2 linked regions of the Ovis aries genome follow. The protein of the gene in region 2 interacts with the protein of the main gene of each other region in a biochemical or structural test. Links are inferred from orthologs where the notes say so. Each region holds a gene or a part of one and is shown on either strand. Other genes may lie near its edges. The genes, in order: SLC2A1 and TXNIP.

The links.
Region 1: the proteins of TXNIP (region 2) and SLC2A1 form a complex in vitro, tested with the Homo sapiens proteins (2 studies listed by BioGRID). The link is inferred for Ovis aries from reciprocal best matches to the Homo sapiens genes TXNIP and SLC2A1.

The regions. Positions count from the first base shown.
Region 1 is NC_056054.1:17,374,051-17,377,856, reverse strand, and holds part of SLC2A1 (solute carrier family 2, facilitated glucose transporter member 1), read left to right. Parts: intron 1-64; coding exon 65-252; intron 253-514; coding exon 515-619; intron 620-1,069; coding exon 1,070-1,171; intron 1,172-2,372; coding exon 2,373-2,576; intron 2,577-2,941; coding exon 2,942-3,142; 3' UTR 3,143-3,806. UniProt on the Homo sapiens protein: Facilitative glucose transporter, which is responsible for constitutive or basal glucose uptake. Has a very broad substrate specificity; can transport a wide range of aldoses including both pentoses and hexoses.
Region 2 is NC_056054.1:99,309,441-99,313,810, forward strand, and holds the start of TXNIP (thioredoxin-interacting protein), read right to left. Parts: upstream 2,831-4,370; 5' UTR 2,565-2,830; coding exon 2,315-2,564; intron 1,824-2,314; coding exon 1,751-1,823; intron 1,638-1,750; coding exon 1,490-1,637; intron 1,282-1,489; coding exon 1,179-1,281; intron 1,046-1,178; coding exon 789-1,045; intron 685-788; coding exon 528-684; intron 417-527; coding exon 211-416; 3' UTR 134-210; coding exon of another isoform or gene 98-133; 3' UTR 1-97. UniProt on the Homo sapiens protein: May act as an oxidative stress mediator by inhibiting thioredoxin activity or by limiting its bioavailability.

The sequences.
Region 1 (3,806 bases), about 82 Mb from region 2:
CCGCCCCCGGCCCCGGCCTCCTCCCCGCGCTGAGCCGCCCCCGCCTTCCCTCCGGCCCCCTCAGTGCTGAAGAAGCTGCGTGGGACCGCTGACGTGACCCGCGACCTGCAGGAGATGAAGGAGGAGAGCCGGCAGATGATGCGAGAGAAGAAGGTCACCATCCTGGAGCTGTTCCGCTCGGCCGCCTACCGCCAGCCCATCCTCATTGCCGTGGTGCTGCAGCTGTCCCAGCAGCTGTCCGGCATCAACGCTGTGAGTGCCCCGTACCCACCCTCTCCTGTGCCCCCCCGCCAATCCCTGGAGCCCGAGGCGTGCTGTGGACAGATCCCACACCTGAAAGAGCAGACGGACCCCTGCCAGAGGAGCAGCTCTCCTTTAGAGCCCAAACTCAGAAGGGCCCTGGGGCAGTGTCCTCTTCATGCTTTACTGACCGTGTGTCCTGCCCCCACTGGGACAGAGGCGGGGGAAGAGCCATAGCACCCCGCTGAGCCCCGACTGCCTCTGTGTCCGGTAGGTTTTCTATTACTCCACAAGCATCTTCGAGAAGGCGGGGGTGCAGCAGCCTGTGTACGCCACCATCGGCTCCGGCATCGTCAACACAGCCTTCACTGTCGTGTCGGTGAGTCTTCCGTGTCGTTGCCCACAGCCAGCCAGCAGCTGGGGTCCAGCCTGTGGTCTCAGGGGCTCGGGGCCTTGTGACCAGACAGCAGTCTTTACTGCGAGCTAGGCAGGCATCACGTGCTCCCTAAGTGCTCTCTCATTTCATCTTCAACAACTTGTCAAGTTCATTACTGGGATCAAACAGTTGACACTGATGTTCAGAGAAGTGCGGCGGCTGGCCCAAGGCCACAGCCGGAATGCTCAGCTGTCTGACTCTCGCAGGCAGCTCTCACCCCCTGGGATCCTATGTAGTCCCCGAACCCTGCCCCAGGGAAGAGGTGATCCATCTGCCACTCCATCTCTGCAGGGCCCTGTGGCTTTCCCAGCACTTGGGGGGACCCTCCTGGAGGAAGGGGTGTGTTCAGAGGGGCACCAGGAGGGGAGGCACTGACGCACCCTGTGCCCACAGCTGTTTGTGGTGGAGCGAGCCGGCCGGCGGACCCTGCACCTCATAGGCCTGGCCGGCATGGCTGGCTGTGCGGTGCTCATGACCATCGCGCTGGCGCTGCTGGTGAGTTGCCGTGCTCTGGGGGTGAGGGGGGGGGCGGGGGGGGCAGGGGGGGGGGGGAGAGGAGGGGGAAGGGGGAGCTCATGTGGGCATCCCAAGGTGCTCATCTCAGCCCCAGGCTGGCCGGCGGCATCCAGACCCCAGGTGGGGCTGCCCTCCCCCTCGTTCTGCCCCACCCACAGCCCCAGGCTTGGGCCAGACCCTCAGCTTCCTTGGGCTGTCTCTTTCCACTCTTATCTGAACCAGCTCCTCCCTGCCGGGTGCTTTCTCACCACCACACCTCCAGCCCTGCAAGTTGCCTTGCTCCTGGAGCTGCTCTGCAAAGTCTTCCTCCGCAGCCCCAATTCTTCTTGTAAACAGCCCTAGAAAGCAATGCCCTCCTTACCACAGAGGCGTGGAAACATGCATTATCTCACTCAGTCCTCAGGACGCACAGGAGTAGTGCAGTCAATATTTCTACTTCTCCAGTGAGGAAACGTCCCCCCACCCCCTTTCCTGGTGAGGTTCATAATGCAGCAGAAAAAGCCAGGAATCAACCTCAGGTCTGCTGGCCCCAAGCCTGTGACTATAACCTCTATGATAACCTTATCCCAGGCACTTCACACACCACTCGCTTATCCAGTGTTTGGGCAAGGAGAACACCAGGACACTCATTTTACAGCTGCACCAAGGCTTAGAGAGTACATTGACGACTGAGAGGCCCAGCATGCCCCAGGTGATAAGCAGGGGATCTGGGATCTGGAACAAAACCATATAACTCTTCTGCTGTGGTCTCCTCGAGAATGGCTCTCTGTGGAACTTCATGCCTGCCCAATGCTGGTCCTGAGCTGGGTACCTTACAAGCCTCTGACAGCCACCCCCAGGAATTTTCTTCCACATCCTCCAGCCATAAGCAGACTGCTCCACAGCCAAAGCCAGGGGACCACAGGGACCTCTTTTTAGCACCTCCTGCGTGCAACTACGTGACCGTTCCTGGAGGCAGTCGCAAGCTCACAACCACCATGCAGGGCTTCACCTGTTTTGTTCAGATGAGAACACTGAGACCTGGCCCCGGTACCTAAGTCACAGAGCAAATCCAGGGCCAGCCCGAGGCCTCCTGCCTGCCAGAGTTCTTAGCCTGCCCTGGGCTACCCCTGGAGTTGGTTTCCTCTGAGGACCCAGCACAGCCCAGCCTAACTTTCCTTCCCTCTCTCATCCTCAACAGGAGCAACTGCCCTGGATGTCCTACCTGAGCATCGTGGCCATCTTTGGCTTTGTGGCCTTTTTCGAAGTGGGCCCAGGCCCCATCCCATGGTTCATTGTGGCTGAACTTTTCAGCCAGGGCCCTCGCCCCGCTGCCATTGCTGTTGCCGGTTTCTCCAACTGGACCTCGAATTTCATTGTGGGCATGTGCTTCCAGTATGTGGAGGTAAGAACCCCAGAGTCCCCACACTTCAGCGTTTCTCTCCTGCACACAGGACCCCATAGCGCTGTGCAAAATGCTGTCCCTGGTGTTCCTACTGGAATCACACTGGGGAGGAAACAGGCTCAGAAGGCCAGGTTATGGGCTCAGAACCCTGACCTCCTCTCCAGGGTTCTTCCCTTAGCTTTGAATTGTCTATTCTGTTCTGCCATCAGAATCTGCTTCTACCACATGCCAGGTGCAGCAGAGTCCTGGGTTGTAGGTGGGTGTTCCCTTTTTCAGATCAAGGACCCAAAGGTAAAGAGATCGTCCATCCTAAGGGCAGGATGTAGGGTCAGGTCTCCAACCAAGTGTTTCTATGTGTCTTTCAGCAACTGTGCGGACCCTATGTCTTCATCATCTTCACCGTGCTCCTGGTTCTGTTCTTCATCTTCACCTACTTCAAAGTTCCCGAGACAAAAGGCCGGACCTTCGATGAGATTGCTTCTGGCTTCCGACAGGGAGGAGCAAGCCAAAGTGACAAGACACCTGAGGAGCTGTTCCACCCCCTGGGTGCTGATTCCCAAGTGTGAGGTGCCCCACACCGCCAGCCCGGTCTGCTCCCAGTGGCCCAAGGATCTCTCAGAGCGCAGGCAGCTGGATGAGACTCTCAAACTGATAGATCTCAGCAGACCCGGGCCTGGGGCTCCTTCCTTCAGCCAGCAGTGATGTCCAGAAGAATATTCAGGACATTAACGGCTCCAGGATTTTAACAAAAGACTGTTGCTCAGATCTATTCAGACAAGCAACAGGTTTTATAATTTTTTATTACTGATTTTGTTATTATTTTTTTATCAGCCAGAGTCTCCTTCACCCACATCCCTGGCTTCACCCTAAATGGCTCAGTGCCTGAGGGTGGGGACCAAGCCCTGCCTAGACACTTGCCTTCTTTGCCAAGCTAATCTGTAGGGCCGGACCTATGACCTAAGGACACACTAATCAAACTGCAAACTATGAGTCTTCTGCCCCAAGAGGTGGCTATGGCCACCCCTTCTGTGGGCCTGGGTCTCCCAAACCTAGGGGTCAGGCTCCGTTAGGTTTTGCCTATTCCCGTCTCTTCCTACCCAACCACTCAAATTAATCTTCCCTTGCCTGAGACCAGTTGGGAGCACTGGAGTGCAGGGAGGAGAGGGGAAGGGCCAGACTGCGCTGCCAGGTGCTAGTCTCCTTTGCACTGAGGGCCAGATGATCACCATG
Region 2 (4,370 bases):
ACTGTGGAGACTGTTGAGTCTCTAAAAAAATCAAAGAGTCCAGGAAGAGAGATGAAAAGAAACAGGTAGGTATAACTGCTTCTTTTCTTCCACATGCTCACTGCACATTGTTGTTCAGGATGCAGGGATCAACCTGGGAGGAAGAAAAGAAAGAGTATTTTAGTTTGGGTAAGAAAAAACACAACAATCCAGTCTGGCAATCCCAAGAAATTAACTTCCTATAAAAGGCTTAGGACAAATGTAGTGGTAAATGACAATTCTCACCTCAGAGTAAGTAGGTGGTGGCATGAACCTGAACTCAGGAGCATACATAAAAATAGGGCTGTCTTGAGAACCATCTGTGTCATCTAGCAGAGGAGTAGTGGGGCTCTCCAACCGGTGATCTTCAGCAATGCTATCCATATAGCAAGGAGGAGCTAGAGAGAGAAAGCATGGAGATAAGAAGCCCAGCCAAGAAAAGCCTAACCACAATTTTACAAACCCACCCAGGCCAGAGGGAAAAAAATGAGATCAGGTGTCTGGCTCACCTTCTGGGGTATCTGGGATGTTCAGGTCTACCCAACTCATCTCGGAGCTGGTTTGGCTGGCCATGCTGGACGTCCGGCTGCTGAGGCCTGACCTGCTGCCAATAACCAGGGGCAGGTCAAGAATGACTTTCTTGGAGCCAGGGACGCTAACGTAGATCTAGAAAGGAAGACATCAGTTTGTTAGGCTAGAAATCTGGAGAAACACCACTATCGTTTAGACCAATGAACAATTTCTTTCTCCAACCCCATCCACCCACTCACCAGTAAGGAGTATTCAACTCGCAGGATATTGCAGCCCAAGATAGAAGGCCTGATCTTCTGCACTCGAAGGCTCTTGCCACGCCATGATGCACAGGTTCCGGAGATAATATGATTGCCTCTGACTGATGATAACTTCTGCGTCAGCACCTTGGTCTGGCCATTGGCAAGATAAGTGTGGCGGGCCACAATGGCAGCTTTGGGGATCACAATGCGGGAACACGTATTCTCAAAATCAGCATGGATGTTAATCTCATCACCTGGCAATGAGAAAGATGAAAACTGATGCTCAGTGCAATCCATGACTTTTAATCTGTCCCTGCCTCCTGCCCTTACTCCCAAACCCACAGTTCCTGTTTTAAGGGTCTCTCATTTTCTGCACTAGATTTTTACCTTCACAGAATCCTTTTCTGTCAATTCGTGCAGAGACAGACACCCGCCCATCAGGTATGAACATGCAGGAAACTTTCTTCTCCTTTTTAGCTGACACAGGTTCCTATATAGAATGAAGTGGAAAAAGACGTTTTGAGAATTTCTAGAGATCCTTTCTCTGCTTCTCTTTCCACTGCTTAAAGTAGGTAGTTTTCTCTCCCACCTTGATGACTTAAGGACTTGATTCCCTGACGGGCTTCACTTTAATGCCCTAAAAACCTAACTACTTATCTCTGAAACCCAGAAGAAGAGACTTTTAAAATGAATCTCACCAGTAAATCAGGAGTATTGACATCCACTAGATCCATCACTTCAAAGTTTTTCTTTGTCTCTTGAGTTGGCTGGCTGGGACGATCAAGAAAAGCCTTCACCCAATAGTCCACACACCCATATTTTCCTTTGAAAGATGTTCCCAGAGGCCTTTATCAAGAAAAAGGAAACAATTTTAAAATGCTCTCCAAGAAGAGTAACTGATCAAAAGAGGGAAAGATTTTTACAGACAGATAAGATCACAGATGCATTTAGTTACCTACCCCTGAGGAAGCTCAAAGCCGAACTTGTATTCATATTTGTTTCCAGGTCTCATGATCACCATCTCATTCTCACCTGAAGGAAGAGAAAAAGGAGAAGCTTCTAGGTTTCTTGTTATACTTAAAATGCCTCTATGCAATAAGGAATTCTTGGGCAGCGTGCAAGAGTAATGCAGAACCCCTTATGTTCTTAAATGAGATTCTGATGCATTCGCTGAGCAAAAAGTTGCAAAGCCCTGCAGTGCTGAAAGACTCAACCTATCATCATCTCAAACAAGAAGCAAGCAAAGAACAAGCAATTTATTAAGACATAAAAACCTTTCAATAGCTATGTCAACATCCCTCAGAATCACCCACAGAACACAGCACCCTGAGAAGTTGCACAAATCACCCTTTTTTGGGGGTGGGGGTAGGGGTTAGCAAGTTAAAGCTAAAAAAGATAAAGAAGCCACACAAAATTCAAACCCCACAACCCGAGCAATTTAGGATCTACAGTGTGGGCTTTATCCGTATCAATTCTCTTCTTGAATCCGCTCTCACCCTCCAGCAAACAGTTGGGTCACTTACCAGCTGGTTGGTCGTCCAGGAGAAGCGTGTCTTCGTAGCGTAAGTAGTCCAACGTCTGCTTGCACTGCTGGGATCCCTGCATCCACAGGACTTTGGCCACTCCGCAAGCCAGGATCCTGACAGCTTTGACTCGAGTGACTTCACACACTTCCACTATCACCCGGCCAGCCACCTTCTCCCCACTGCCGTACACCTTTTCGGGGTCGTTAAAAACTACCTCGAAAGACTTGATCTTCTTGAACATCACCATGTTGGGCTGGGTCTGCTTAAGAGTTAAAAATGAGGACAAAACAAAACTCTCAATCAAAGGACCTTTTGCTGTAAGTTAAAACTTTTTCACTTTTCAGTTCTCTACTGAATTTTCGAAAACACGTCCACCCAAAAATGTAAGCCGCGAGTTGTATCAAGAGATTGCAAAAGAAAAATAAGCTCTTTCTTTCTAACAGCTGGAGGACAGCTCCGGATCTCGGCGGGAAGGCTTAACGCGTTCCACCTCAGAAAACGAAACGATAGTTTGCAACTGAGAGCCGGAAACTGGTTTATATAGTAGCCCGGCAGGCAGGTCCACGCGAACGCTGGCCTGGAGGCTCGTGCTCCCCTCGTGCACAGCTCTCCCATTGGCTGCCCGCTCCTTGTTTACCAGGAGCCCTACCAATCAGCGAGGTCGCAGCAGCGCGTGGACACAGTGTGCTCCTGGCGGGGAAAACGGTTGTTGTGCATCGCTGCGGGGCTGGGAGGAGGGGGCGGAGGGGCTATGGGGCGGCTTCCCGTGTGCCCAAGGAAGGAATGCTTCACTGACCCCAAAATCTATCCGAGGCCAGTGGTCTTCGAAGGGCGGGTGTGGATGCTTTTGGAGTGGTAGCTATTATTTTGAGGTAAAAGGAAAATGTGCTTATGATGGAATTCCATGCCTAACCTCAGCCAATGTAATTAATTTAGAGGTGACTGTTTATTCCCGGCTCACAAATCGCAAGTCGTGTGAAAAACAATCCCAGAGCTCCAAGAATACTTGAGGATGGGGCGGAGGACAGGGAGTGCAGTCGTTACTGTTGAGGAAGATCCGCTTTGTCCTTCTCTTGCCCCGCATCTCTCAAAAATCAACAAACAACCCCCTGCTCCTCCCCGCTCCCCCCATAAAAAATCCCGGCTGTGTGGGAAGGAAAAGAGAACTTGTCACAAATTTTTAACCTCTCTTCAGCGGTCACAGCAAAGTGAATATATGGGACTGATTAGCCATCCCCCACTCCCTTTCTAGCCCCCTGGGCTGGAGGCTGGGGGCTCCGGTCCGTGTGCCTCTGCCCCTGCGTCCTCCACTCGGTTCTCTCTGTTCTCTGGACTGGTACAGTACGGGCGTATCCACATCCTGCCACTTATCCCGTCATCTCTTCAGTCCCTGATCTGCAGAGTTAGGGAACACTTTATTTATGGTCTCTCAGTTACCTCATTACCTCTTCGTTAAAGTGTGTTCTTTGGGCTCTGAGTATCTCACTCCCTGCTTCTCCAGGAAAGTAATTAAAAAAAAAAAAAAAAAAAGGCTTCACTCTAGTCATCTTTTTCCTGAGTTATTTTAACTGTCTCGTCTTCCTCCCCCTTCCAACTTACTAAATCAGAGGTACACCTCTAAATCTGCTGCCCACACTCCTCACAGCCTTCAAATTAGTTAAAAGCAGGAAAGTTGTCAATCGTCAGAGGGAAAGTGTCAGGGAAAGATGGCCGTATTTCTGTTTGAGGGAACCATTCTGCAGTCTTTGGAAAGTTTTTTTTTTCCCCCCTAAACTGTTTAGAAATAGGTAAGAAAGGGAAGAAAAGACAGAAGGATCGTTAGCACACTGTATGTTAAAGCTAAAAGAAACCCTGACTCTTCATCCTGTGTTATTTGGCTCTCTGTCAGATGGGTTTTTCCCTAGCTGGCCGTGAGGTGCCTTAGGAGCTGACTCCTGAGAAATTTTTCAGAGATGCAGTAAGAAAGACTTGTGTGCACAGATACAGGAATTCTTCTCCCTTTTCTTTGATTCCTGAGTTCCTCCCCATGGGTTGGAAAATCAGGAGATTATTA